Linked DNA regions of Neodiprion lecontei. The protein of the gene in region 4 purifies or fractionates together with the protein of the main gene of each other region. This does not show direct contact. Links are inferred from orthologs where the notes say so. Each region holds a gene or a part of one and is shown on either strand. Other genes may lie near its edges.

Region 1 (2,613 bases), on a different chromosome or scaffold from region 4:
CTTACACGGTTTGTACATAGAATCTGCCAGGCCTGAGAAAGTTTAAAATAAGTGAGTTAAAGTAAGCTGATTAAAAAACAACGCACAAGTGAAAAATATATATATGGTATTCACTGTTTAAGCAACACTTTGGTTTACATGTTAAAAGATAATCAGAAAACGACGAAATATGCTTGAAATTGAGCTTATATAACCAAACGAAATTTTAAATACAAACGAAGGTGTATGTATTTTATTTCTAGGATTCATTACAACTTTTATCAATTTTCACATACATCACTGATTGCAAATTGAGACACGATTGCAAATCAATTGAGATGACTACCAAACTTGTTATAATAGAATTATTTCAGACAAACCAAGAATAAGTATGAATGATATTTTAGGAACGGTAAACATGTTATTAGAAGATGGTCGATTTCCAAACTAAATGAGAATTATTGTTCAACATTTCACTTCCGAAAGTCTTTATTGTATCATGGATTTTTATCAGATACCATATAACCACTTGATTTACCCAAGTAGTGGCATGATAGAATTTGAGAATTAGTACTGGAAGATATTGATCAGTTGCTTTATTTCTCAAGAAGGGCAAGGCTATTGCTTATTTCCTGTGAAAGTTTCTTTTCTATTGCTGGTATCGACAACTTGTCAGCCTTGATGTTGAAGCTAATATAAACTGGTTTCCCCAGTTTCGTTGCCAGTCTTGCAGCCATGTTGATGGATGTCGAATCAATAGCAGATCCCATCAGCTTTGTGGAAATTGGTACCTTCTCGTAATCAGAGATCAAAGCTAGGGAAAGGTCGTTCATTACGCTGTCGACAATATCACCAACCCAAATATAGTAGCTGTCTTTCATTTTTATCATCTGACAGCTTATTTTGATGTCACCAACTATAGTCAAGATATTGTGGCATTTAAAACTACACGTCACTAATTCAGGGTCAATGTTTTTCGGTTCGGCCATTGTCCTATCCATCCGTGAAAAAATGTAATATTTCGAAGTACAGAAACTGCTTTTTTACAGAAAATTAACCCAGAGGGCACGATGAGACAAACTAAAAAATAAAGAACCTATTTCGAAACGTGTGCTAGCGCATGTAGAGCATTTCGGAACGTTCGGAAAATGTACTGGAACGTTATATGCCAAGTTAACGAAGGACTTGTCAACAACAATGACACGTCACAAGTCTATAAGGTTAGATTCGACGGTCATGGGTTATGTTATGTTTATTGAGATTGAGTTTGTTTCGCGCTCCGCCAACTATGGCGCTATAGGTTTCTCTCACGGTGCAAGGTCCCTAGATTAGACAAGTAAAGACACGCGTGGGCAAAAAAATTAATGAGGATGCGCCAAAAGTTTCGTATGACAATGGATGCTTCCATTTACCTCCGTGAAGTTGGCCCCCCGAAGTTATTATTTTTAAATCTAATTAATGCAATTCGTTTGAGAATCGTTTGAGAGGGTTTGAGAGTAAAGAAAAATCGTTTGAGAGTTAGTAGTTTTTCCGGAAAATTGATTTTAATTTTGGGTGTGAAGTGGGCCCCCATATTTTCTATCTCCTCAAAAAATGGACTTAGACGTTTAATTTTTTTTTAATCTTTTGAGAATCGTTTGAGAGGATTTGAGAGTGGAAAAAAACTGTTAGAGAGTTAATATTTTAATTGATATTCCATAATTATTGAGTGATTGATTTCCCCATGATTTCCCCTAGTTTCCGAGTGCTTCCGGCCTGCGCCATGGATATGCGCGGTGTACGTGCGCAGTGTATCTAAAATCAGCTGGAGGCTGGTCGTGAGTGTTCTGCGCCGAAGAAACTGGCGTTTCTGTTTCATCGTGTCTTCTCCAGTAACAAAATCAATTAATCCTTCAAAAAATTGAGCAACATTCCAACGAGAGCAATAATGTTCAAAGAGCGAAAGAACTTTTGGAATAAAGTCGTGTAATAAATTTATCCGACGTTTTTTCAATGATCTTGCCAAACATCGTCGAGTTGTGAACAAATATTGAAGCTTGTGGGAATTCAGGGGTTATAAACACAGGGAAACGATACGTGATATGGTGAGAACTAAAAAAAATAACGTTTCGAGCACGGTCCAAGATTTGAAAGATCTGAGAACACAAAAATCTTGGGATAGACGAACAGGAACATCGCTGACATATATTATAAGCCCATCGACATTCCACGTTTCTCCCAATTATGAGTGCATTATTCCTTATCTGCAAGTAAATATTAATTTTGGCGTTCTATAAAAGATTTCACTTTCTGTTGCACTGCGTTAAAAAGATTTCGCCAAGTTTCCCGTTTTCGACGCTCGTGTCTTTTTCCAATAGTTTCATTCAATTTTTCTCTTACCATTGGTGTCATTGAGAGAAAATTGCTCAGCTTCGTCTCCATGTCCATCTCGTACCCGTTCGATTTACGATAATCCGCATCCTCGAAACTCGTATTTCTTCGTCAATCTCGGTCGCTACAGCTGATTTCAGATGCACTGCGCAGACATGTTGTGCATATACAGTGCGCACACACAATGCGCACACCGGAAGTGCTCTAATCCTAGGGGAAATCGCACATTGAATAATTATTTAATATCAATTAAAATATTAACTC
Region 2 (3,537 bases), about 25 Mb from region 4:
AGTGTGCAGGACTCGACGAGATGACGCGAGAAGAAAAACAAACGTTAGCGAATCTCAATGCCATGTGAGTAAAAACGCCAATTTTAAAATATCTTGTTCAGTTGCTACACGAGGGAAAAAAAAGGTCGATACGTTGTTTGAAATTTCAGGTACAAGGAAAAATTTCACTTTCCATTTGTCATATGTGCCCGGGAAAATAAAGTGGCAGCGATTCTGAGCGGCATAGAAAATCGTTTGAACAATTCTCCCGAGACGGAACTTGAGGTCGGGATTCAAGAAGTCAAAAAGATATGCAGGATTCGCCTGCTAGACGTCGTCTGGTCGGATGCTCGATAAATTTGTTAAAGTAATTTGTTCACTTGTCTCATACACATGGACAATTTTTACTTTTTCTGCTCGGAGATAATATGCGGATTAAAAATCTTACATACATGTAACGTGATTAATTGATATTTATTCTTAAGTATCTGCGTAAGCCACTGTTCGACAATTTGACGAAATTTTTTAATCATGCAAACGAGGATTCATTCGTAAATATCAAATAAAAAGAAATGCACAGATATTGAAAAAAGTATTCATTAATTGCCTTTGCCATTGAGCACAATAACAGAGTGCAAATTATGATATTACAAGCTTAAAAATAAGGATCCAATCGATGTTTAGAGAATTCCCAAACTCTTTTCAACCATCGCGTGAGGCTGACACATTTGTTCCCTAAATTCAGCGTTGTTGAAGATGTCTTCGAATCTGTGAATTGTAAAATTAATGTCGTCACTTGTTTGACGCAAGATAAAATTCCATTCAGATCCAAAGCTGCGTTGTTTTTGGTCCGTGATCCACAGTCATCAGAGCTCTTACCCAATTTCTTCGTCTCTACCAAGAATAACATCCCGCATGAGGCCAGAAGATGGAAGAAACGGTAGTCTCCCAACTTTGTCAGCGGCTTTGAGCTCCATGGCTAGACGCATTGGCGCGTGAAGTCCTTGCGTGTTTCTCAGCATAACCATATCCATGCGCAATTTATTCTGCACATACTGGAGATCAGAATAAAAAGATGTGAAAACTGTAAATGCCTTAGTATAAAGAAGCAATAGTCAGTCTGACTACGACTTACGTTTTGCTCGGAGGCTTGCAGAGGATGTGAAAATCCAAGATTTGCTCTTGTTGAAGATAGCCTGTGCAATTAAATTTCATTCAACTATTCTCCTTCTTTTTGAGAAAGTTGTTATACGGCGAAAAGCGAATACTGATGAAAATCAACCAATGGAACAATGACAAATATCTTTATACTTGATTGTGACTTACCCTGAAACAAGTGCATTTGGAACACCATGCGTGTCGTCGGGGATGCTGATTATATCTGCAGCCGAGGGCTTGGGTTTCACGGAAGGTAGACCAAAACTCTGAGCGGAAAAGTGTGAGCAGAAATTTGTTGATTTGCTGTTGAAGGATAATTTCGCCTAACCTAATTCGTAACTATGGACGTTTTAAATGACAGAAAAATGCGAATCGTGAAATGAAACAGGCGGCTAGATTTCTTATTAACGATATATTCACATAGGATCACAGCGTATTAAACAAAGCTTCAGTACTTATTCATCGATGTAGAAAAGATGCACTTGTCATTAATACGAGGGTAAACATAACCTTAATAAAAATATTGCAAATGTCACGTTCGAGAAATTCGACGAACTGGCCGAATAATCACGTGGAGAAAAATATTAAAGTATCGCAAATATATAATAAAATGATGGAGTTAGTCTTACCATATTGAATTACTTTTCAAACAGCTTCTGGGGTTGCTTATTTAATAATATTTCGTTCGCTCGTGACTTGACGAAGAGCCGCGGTGAAATATAACACGCTATACACGAGCACTGATCGCGAAATGAGCGGTAATGGTGTGAAGTTAGCTGAGTTGAGGCGTGAAAACGCCCTCTGGCAACAAACTTTTGAAACTCATTTGCCGAGATTCGTGGTGGTAAGTAAAAACCATTGTCAACAACTAACCTTTATTTACAATCACGAACTTAGCTGACAATGCAAATTACATTTGCCACATAATGAATTGCTACTATTCGAGATTTATATTTCTGACTATAAATACGATTTTCGTGTGACGTTCGCAAAATTGACGCGCTAAAGGCGCGATTGATTCGCGTGAATTAATCGCAGCTCTGGACAAAAAATTCACATACAAATGTACTGCACCTTAAATGACCAGAAAATAACTTTAGAATTTTTTTTACCTTCTATAGGTCGTTCCATTCATTAGACGCAGCTTTCGTACGTGCATCTTTTCAGACCTGACGTTGAAGAGGCATACGAGTTTCACTGGAAGAAAAATAGAACAGAACATTTATTCACGCATTTTAATTTTAATAACTGCAGATACGCAGGATATAGAATACTAATCACATAAGCGTGAGAACTGAATATGTGCTGCATATTTTTTCAAATCTAATGATCGGTTCATTTTTCATATTATGTTCGAAAATTGATTGATCGAATTACATAATTCAGATCACCATTAACAGATGTCAAAAGTTCTAAATCGATTCAAAACTTACTATATTTTTCACACCAAGAGATTATCCTGAAAGTTCGCAGTTGCTCACCGCCGACTCGGCACTACTCAAATTCGTCGTTTGTTTCTCGCAGGCTGGCCATCCCATCTTTAATTTCAAACTGTGAAAGGCCGTAAAATGATTGCATCGACGACGACGACGATTATATTTTGACAGGAAATGCCTCGTAAATAAAACGGAAACATAATCGTCGACATTTTTGTTTTGACAGGGAATTCCCCGTAAATAAAATGACAATGTAATCGTCGTCGTCATCGATGCAATCATTTTACGGCTTTTCACAGTTTGAAATTAAAGATGGGATGGCCAGCCTGCGATAAACAAACTGAAAACTTGAGTGGTGCGAACAGAGAGTTCGTGACCAACTGTGAACTTTCAAGATAATCTCTTGGCATACCTGATACATGAGTATACCAATAACATTCGGCAATTTGTAAATGGTCGCCTCTTGCGTTTTTGCATGACAATTATTTCGTAATGATAGAATGCGCAGTATAAATATAGAATTAGAACGTTGCAGGAAAATGCGATAAGATGAGGAATGAAGAATCGTATACTGACAATGAGTATCGACTTGCAGCAAGAAGTTCGGAAGAATCCAATTTTAGATAAAACTGTCACTTGCGGTGCCGTGGTTTGTCTATGCACGGTTCACTGCCCGAGTGCCGTACTCACTAGTAAGAAGTGGGCTAGCAATTGGCAGAGAGTCATTTAGTACAAGGCTTCACCGCACCGAGCGTACTTTATGTTCGGTTCTCTTAAATATTATTATTCATTAGATTCAAATAACAGACAGGGAGGGAGAGTCCTCTCAGAGAAATACTCACAAAGCAATCCTGAAACAAACTGGGATTTTCTATCACAGCTTCGTCGTTTTTCAGCCATATATCAAAGATACCCTGATTTACAGGCCGGTAGATAGAAAAAGGCGTTCTTGAGAAGCTTGAAC
Region 3 (3,849 bases), on a different chromosome or scaffold from region 4:
GTGGGTTGCTCCGCTCCATTGGTCATCAACTTACAAATCTTACATTTTTTAGAGAAAAGAAAGTTTTATTTTAGTTACTGGTTTTTTTATTTAACTGGGGCCTGAGAACACAACTCAAATATAGTTTAATTAACTAGAAGTACACGACTTGACATGAAGCTTTAAACTTAACTTGAAAAGACAAGACTTTATTGTGATTTCGGGACAACTTTTCCGGAATAGAGAAGGTCGTGATAGCTCAGTACGTGAGAAATTTCAGTGTTAATGGTAAGAGATATGATTGTTTCATACCAGTATAAATGTGAGTCTGTATGCCGGATATTTAGTCTGAATCAAAGGTTTAGGGGATGCAACCACCACATAACATTAAAAAGTTTTGACACTATCTTTTGATAGGATCAGTCCCCATTCCTGTTAAATAGGACGAATGTTACATCGCTAGATAGATTCTCAAAAAGATGCTGAATTACCTTGTTATTCTCAAAAGACGTTACGAAGAATGAATGAACGACTGTTATAAGCACGACGTGTAGCAACGTGTACAATTATAAGAGAAAAGGAATGCTTTTTGTAATTCATTTTTATTCGAAATGTAAGCTATTTATCACTTACGCCAGATGCTCATGTTCACTTAAGCAAATAATCATTATTCATTATGAATTAATAAGTAATAAAAATTCGATAGTTTGTTGATATTTTACAGTTTTTGCTTTTCCTTCTTTGCCTGTTCAGCAATTGCTTCTAGTCGATCGTGTTCAGCAATCAATGCCTCCACTTCAGATGCTGGTAGAATACGGGTCTTTGTTTTTCCATCTTCGCGAGTTAGAGTTGCCATCTCAACTACAACAATGATACAATAATGGAGAATGAGCAGTTTTTGCTCCCTCCACCGATCCAAATAGGTACTTATTCTTTATAAAAAATTAGGTAACATCGTTAAATATACTATTTAGATACAAGTTTGGAAAATTGGACAATTAAGAATCTTCAACTGACCTTTGTCAGAGGAGAGTTTAGTCATATCTAGAGTTTTTGAGAGAACTTTAATCGCAAGAGCCATCGCATCTTTCAGAGTAGTTTCTCCCTCCTGATATTCCTGTTTAAGAGAAGATACAGCTGCTGCCGAATTGTTACCAATACAGGTAGCTTTCCACCCGCTGTAATTGCCACTAGGATCTGACTGGTAGAGCTGATATCCGTAATGCCGATCCCAGCCCATGTAGAGTATGGAAACTCCGAACGGTCTTTTACCTCCGTACTGAGTGTAAGCTTGTTTGACATCACAAAGCCAAGAAACCAGTTGCTCACAAGGAATGGCTTCACCGTATTGAAGAAGATATCTTTGACCGATTAAGCGGAGCTCGTTAGTGAGAACGTTTGCATCAGACGTAACTCCAGCAACGGAGCAAACCATATCCTCATTTAGTTTATAGATTTTTTCTGAGAAAAATACTTCATCCAACAGCTTGTTGGTGTTCCTTCTTTCTGCGGCTAGTAAGATTCCGTCATTGGCCAGAATTCCTAAACAAGTACCAGCGTGACTTATAGCTTCCATTGCATATTCCACCTGGTATAGCCGACCCTCTGGCGAGAATATAGTTGTCCTGGTATCATACCGGCGAGCCTGATCAGAAAATCAAGAAATTGTTAAGAATGAATTAAGTTTGTACGTTCTGAGTTTTGGATTACAGTCGGCATGACGATGCGTCAATTAGTCGCATTGTTGCCACGGTTTATTTTCGCCTAGTAGCCTTTTCTCAATTAGAAGGGTGAATATTTTCGTAACAATTAATACTGAGTTGGATATATCTGGAGCTATGGGAAATTTTTATTAGAATTAGATGGGATAATTGTATGGATGACAATGCATCAATAGAGGTATTCTAACCTATTTCTGTTCAGAGTACAGAAGTTTACATTATTTAATTAATTAGAAAATAAGTCTATAGTCGTTTGCGGGTACTTTGATGAAATGAATAATTTTATGCTCACCATTTTGTCAAACTTATTCAAAACTACCAAAAAGTGTAGCAATTAAATGAGAGTAACACACTGAAAATCAAGTTTGACGGCCGGCCCAAAACTCACAGGCAACTCTGAATTATACATAAACTATACGATACGGAGATTTGTGTTTGAATCAAGCTTTCATAATTTGTAGCTAGATGGCAGTAGTATCGGAGTCCACTCGATCGCCTCCATTTTGACCGCCATTTTCTAACGAACCGAATTGCGGAAAATTTTAAACACATGTAAGTACGTAGAAACGTTAATGTTAATGTTGACATATTCGTCGACTGAAGAATATTCTTCAGTCAACGGTAGCGCTATCCATTCGAAAGAAGAAGAAATTTGAATGCATACGACGAACGCTCCGACGTCATTGGATTATTCTCAGGGAATATCCACGGCTGCAAAGGAATACGCCATCTGTTTTTACCAACTTACTAAATCAAAAAATCAACCGCAGGTACAGACATTTGCGACAAATACAAATCTGAAGTGCCCTATTTGTTCTGCATCACATGCAATCTATATTTGCTCAACCTTCCACAAATTATCAATAGAAGAATGCGTAAGGACTGTTGCACACGCGAATCTTTGTTACAATTGCCTCTCTCAGGGTCACAATACTAGCGATTGTAAATCGGAAAACAGTTGCCATAAATACAACAAGCGTCATCATAGCTTTCTGCACAAACAATTCAAGAGGACTCAGGCAGTCACAGCAGGGAGTCCGTTTACAAATGCCGACAACCATGCAGCCCAAGACTATAATATACGCCCGCGACAGAGTCCTTATGACTTGAGCAGGTAGAAAATCCAAACGGGAAATCGCAACTCATTACGTTAGTCACCAATTCAAGTACAAAAGTGACCTTATCACCGCGGTCATCGAAGTGCTTAATCAACACAACCAGCCTGTACGAAGCCGCACCCTCATTATTACTTGCAAAACCATTAATTTTATAACCGAAGGCATGGGGAATATTTTGGGTTTAGAAAGGTCTGCTGTACCCCGGTCGGCGCTCTCAAAATACTTTCGACGATGCCTAAAAGTATAAGTTCCAAAACCGTAAACGGACCCTTTTGCTGTAGATTCATTTTGTACCGTAAGCAATATCCAATGATTCGTTGTAATATATAGAGAGAGCTCATCGATTGATTATTCGACTGATACAAAAAACAACACTTTCGAGAGAAATTAATGAGCTCAATCAAACGAGACCACTCGCTGCGAAGAGTAAACTCTTACGTGTCAATCCATTTGTCGAAAAGGAAGGAATTCTACGAGTTTGGAGGTAGGCTTCTCAACGCTATAATGTCATTCAATGAGAGACACTCGATTGCACTATCGAAGAATCATCACGTTATCTCATTGATTATCTAAAACGAGCATCGCATACACTTTCACGCAGGAGTACAGGCAACCTTGTACGCCGTTTGCAGCCAAGTATGGAAGGTTATCAGACCCTGTGTCAAGTACTGTAGGGCAAAGTCACACCCTTGAAATATTATTAGATGATTCGTCGAAAAGTGCAACGGGCTACCGGACTAATAACGGTAATTTTGCCATGCACCTGTACGAACATACGATGATCCAGTTGCTCGACCGTACGCTAAATGTACGGTCCTGAAAAAATTCTAGGAATTTAAGTAATTGTTTGGCTAGCCTCTGATAGTGCAAAAGGATCAAGTACGGAAGTGTAAAGAAATTGTCCCAGTAATTTAGATTTCTGATTATCTGTTTTCAATCATTGCTTTAAAAATCAAGAAAATAACGTTTTCTCCAATGACTGCTTCGTCTGATTGAAAAATTCGCCCATCTTCATCGTTAGTTTGAAATAT
Region 4 (3,530 bases):
TTGGCAAAAGTTATTTATCACCATTCTGTTTGTTTGGTACTATAGGTCAGCTGGACGGAGGATATAAAGAAAGCTAGATCAGGAGATTACAATGTTAATCTGTACGATGAAGAAGGGTACAGTGCCCTTCGCAAAGCAATTAGAAACGGAGAAGATCCGAGCAGTGTGAAACCTCTAGCTGTTGTTGTCCTCAACAACCCAGGTGCTTACCTTGGACCATGGATAAACTCTGAACTCTTAGCTGCATTCTTAGCTGCATTTGTTACATACACAGCATTCTCTGCCAAATGGAAGCTGTTATCGTAAACTAAGTAATTACAATTTAAGTCATGAATGATATTTTTAACTGCCTCCGGCTTCACTATTTATACTAAACCGTTAATTGGATTCAAATAGTTTTGTAAAATATCAATGTATCCAATATCGAACGATCAATCAATGATTCTCCTGGAGAACCAAAACTGTGACTGAATAAAATTCATTACTTTATCAATTCTAATCCCTAGCTTCTACGTTGTTCACTTTTACATAGGCGAATAAACAGGAAATACAATTACAATTTAGCTGATAATAATTTTTTATTAAGAATTTAATGAACATGATTCATTGATATAAACAAAAAAAAAAAACTCATGATAATTAATATCATATTCAGAACATTTCGAGTGGAGGATCATTGCCAAATAAGAATCTCCAAGACGAAGGTTTTCTGATTAATAAATTACCAGAGGCGTCCTTTGAGAAAAGTTCTAGCCACTGATTTAAGTAGTTAGCTAACTCCATTGCATCTGGGATGTTGTCTCCTTCTGAACAAAATCTGAGTAAGACCGCACAAGGAATATGGTTCTCGACAAAGATATCATATAGGTTTTTGGCAAAACCTCCACCTGGGATTGCAAGGACTTCGCTCCTGCCATATTCATCAATTTTACTTTCTAGATGTGTCCAGTTCAGGCTGTCGAACATTGCACCAAATTCTGATTTTATTTCCGGAGATGCAATGTAACGTAACGGAATGGTTCTGATCTGTTGATCTCGTTTTTCATGGGAGTAGCTGCTGGTCAATATGATGACCTATGATTGAAAATACGTCGATTGAATTTGTTACAAATATGTAATGTGACCAAAAATCTTACCTTGGCAACGTGTTTTTCTGTGATGAAGTTCTGCAGCTTTTTAAAGAATAGAAAGGGCTTCTTGGACAGTGGTGATCTTATTTGAATTAGTAGAACTCTTTTATCTGTGCTACAAAATAAATCAACGGCTGTGCAAAGGGCTGACGAATTTTCGTCGTACGGATCAGGGCCAACTATAGGTATGAATGCAGAATCCCAAACATAACCTATTCTCTTTGCGCTAAGGCTCGATATAAAAAGATCAACAGCCAATTGTCCAACATTTCCTACAGCTACTGAAGGAATAATGAGCGTGTATCCCGTCAAATCAATATCTTCTGTAAGTTTTATCATCTTCCCTTATAGAATTAACCTTCTGTTTAGTAAACATAAGCTGTACGTTAGACAAACCGTAATGACAAGCTGGATTCAGCTTACATCGACTGTACCATAGCTTACCTAACACACGTAGAATGTTGAACTGGATGTTGGATCTCACGTGCTAGTGATGTTTCAGAACGCACGTACCGAAAAGGATTTTCGTGCCTGTTCTCGCAAACAGTTATTGTCGTTCTACTTACATCATTTTTTTTTTCTTTGAAAAAATAGATGTAAGAAAGTTAAAGTCAAAAATGTATCAGCGTTACCAGGTTACAAAATCTCCACAATCTGGAGACTGATACCGCTCAAGCAATTTCATTATATATATCCTATTCTTTCATTCCATACGCCCGTTGAAATGTTGGATACACTTCGGACGCCCAAGCTTAACTCGTTTCGAAACATTGCGAAATATCACCCGTGCGCAATCAAATTTCGGAATACGCTCATTATACGCTCACTATAAGCCACTGATATATACATACTATATTATATGATATAATTGATAGTGCTAAAAATGACGCGACGACGATATCTTTCTATTGCTTGTGTTTGTTTTATCACCATTCCAAGTTTTGACCCTATTAATCCTGACAGCAATCTAGCCAGATAGAGAACTAGTCAGCCAACACATCAGTTTTACCGTTGTAGTTGGAAACCTCCAGTAAACTCCGAAAGTAGTATACAAAGTCTATCCATTTCCAATAAAGTGGTGTTTAAGATATTGGCCACGCTACTTGCCGAAAAATGTTTAAAGATGTGCAAGTTTTAATTGTTGGAGCCGGCGCTGCTGGTATCGCCGCGGCATGCCGTCTGCTGGAGCAAGGTTTTCAAAATGTCAGAGTTTTTGAAGCCGGAGATCGAATCGGAGGGCGCGTACATACCGTAGAATTCGGTGCGTACATTGGCTGTGTTTCAACTAACGACTAATTTTTTCCATTGTATATTCATTTAAATAACTATTCATGCCAAGCTAACAATAAGTGCAGCTTATAATGAATTAGAGCAGTTATGAAACTAATCAAGTGATAACAGCTAGAAGAGGCCTGATGGACCTTTATTAATAATACATATGTTTTCCTTTACTATGGTAGCTGATAACGTGGTAGAGCTAGGAGCTGAATATGTGCACGGTGAGCGTGGAAATATATCCTATGAATTGGCATCTCGCCACAATCTTTTGGAGGGATCTAACCTTCTGACCAATACTGAAAAGTGGATGTTTGCTGATTCTCAAGGAGAAATCATACCTAGAGAACAAAGTACTGAGCTACTGAATATATATCATGAAATCTACACAGTTATGCCAAACAAGATAACAGATTTCGAGGGGTCATTCGGAGAATATTTCACACAAGAGTTAGTATCATAACTTCTAGAGTAGTTGAATGTTCGATTAAGTTTTCATTAAAAAGTACAGGGTTCTCTCTTCGTTACAAGTTTTTCAAGTTTTGTGTAAGGTGCTGGTAATTCTTTCACTTGTTCTCTTTTAAAATCACATAACTGAAATAGTCTATAAGTTCTTGCCTATGTTTATCTTATAAATTCTACTTTCAGGTATTACAAGGCATTCAAGGAAAATCCATTTACAAATTTCACCAGGGCAGAAGAATTTTTGGAGTGGATATGCAAGTATGAATCTATCATAGAATCTTGCGATTCGTGGTCCGAAGTTTCTGCATCCGGACTTGCCGAGTATTGGACATGTGAAGGGAATCCATTGCTTAATTGGAAAGGCAGGGGATATAAAACTCTGTTTGAAGTTTTAATGGTAATGATTTCAGAATGAGATTCAATAACATTTTCCATCATTGAATCAGTACAAAATAGAATCTCAATTTTATTCGGTATTCTCAGGTACTTGCAAAATCCTAACAACAATTATTTTTTTCCTTGCGACTTACAGAACAAGTTTACACCAGCGGCAAGTGAGCTACCACTTCTGGAAAAAGTGGACTTCAAGAAAGTAGTTTCAAGTATTGACTATAGCAGTAAAAATCGAATTACTATTAGAACTACTGACAACTCGGAGCA

What was found.
Region 1: the proteins of proteasome assembly chaperone 2 (region 4) and proteasome assembly chaperone 4 purify together in Homo sapiens (affinity purification with mass spectrometry; 3 studies listed by BioGRID and IntAct, counting the BioPlex papers as one, with this or other methods). This does not show direct contact. The link is inferred for Neodiprion lecontei from reciprocal best matches to the Homo sapiens genes PSMG2 and PSMG4.
Region 2: the proteins of proteasome assembly chaperone 2 (region 4) and proteasome maturation protein purify together in Homo sapiens (co-immunoprecipitation; 6 studies listed by BioGRID and IntAct, counting the BioPlex papers as one, with this or other methods). This does not show direct contact. The link is inferred for Neodiprion lecontei from reciprocal best matches to the Homo sapiens genes PSMG2 and POMP.
Region 3: the proteins of proteasome assembly chaperone 2 (region 4) and proteasome subunit alpha type-4 purify together in Homo sapiens (affinity purification with mass spectrometry; 4 studies listed by BioGRID and IntAct, with this or other methods). This does not show direct contact. The link is inferred for Neodiprion lecontei from reciprocal best matches to the Homo sapiens genes PSMG2 and PSMA4.

The regions. Positions count from the first base shown.
Region 1 is NC_060260.1:21,227,653-21,230,265, forward strand, and holds proteasome assembly chaperone 4, read right to left. Parts: upstream 969-2,613; coding exon 576-968; downstream 1-575. UniProt on the Homo sapiens protein: Chaperone protein which promotes assembly of the 20S proteasome.
Region 2 is NC_060265.1:6,326,070-6,329,606, reverse strand, and holds proteasome maturation protein, read right to left. Parts: upstream 1,925-3,537; 5' UTR 1,770-1,924; coding exon 1,767-1,769; intron 1,404-1,766; coding exon 1,306-1,403; intron 1,176-1,305; coding exon 1,115-1,175; intron 1,035-1,114; coding exon 859-1,034; intron 748-858; coding exon 660-747; 3' UTR 561-659; downstream 1-560. Other genes in the region: 2-oxo-4-hydroxy-4-carboxy-5-ureidoimidazoline decarboxylase, read left to right, coding at 1-64, 150-336. UniProt on the Homo sapiens protein: Molecular chaperone essential for the assembly of standard proteasomes and immunoproteasomes. Degraded after completion of proteasome maturation. Mediates the association of 20S preproteasome with the endoplasmic reticulum.
Region 3 is NC_060264.1:7,960,673-7,964,521, reverse strand, and holds proteasome subunit alpha type-4, read right to left. Parts: upstream 2,127-3,849; 5' UTR 1,996-2,126; coding exon 1,993-1,995; intron 1,625-1,992; coding exon 997-1,624; intron 841-996; coding exon 698-840; 3' UTR 563-697; downstream 1-562. Other genes in the region: endoplasmic reticulum metallopeptidase 1, read left to right, coding at 1-52. UniProt on the Homo sapiens protein: Component of the 20S core proteasome complex involved in the proteolytic degradation of most intracellular proteins. This complex plays numerous essential roles within the cell by associating with different regulatory particles.
Region 4 is NC_060265.1:30,903,060-30,906,589, reverse strand, and holds proteasome assembly chaperone 2, read right to left. Parts: upstream 1,655-3,530; 5' UTR 1,470-1,654; coding exon 1,137-1,469; intron 1,075-1,136; coding exon 652-1,074; 3' UTR 554-651; downstream 1-553. Other genes in the region: translocon-associated protein subunit delta, read left to right, coding at 46-306; spermine oxidase, read left to right, coding at 2,244-2,403, 2,591-2,855, 3,054-3,267, 3,403-3,530. UniProt on the Homo sapiens protein: Chaperone protein which promotes assembly of the 20S proteasome as part of a heterodimer with PSMG1.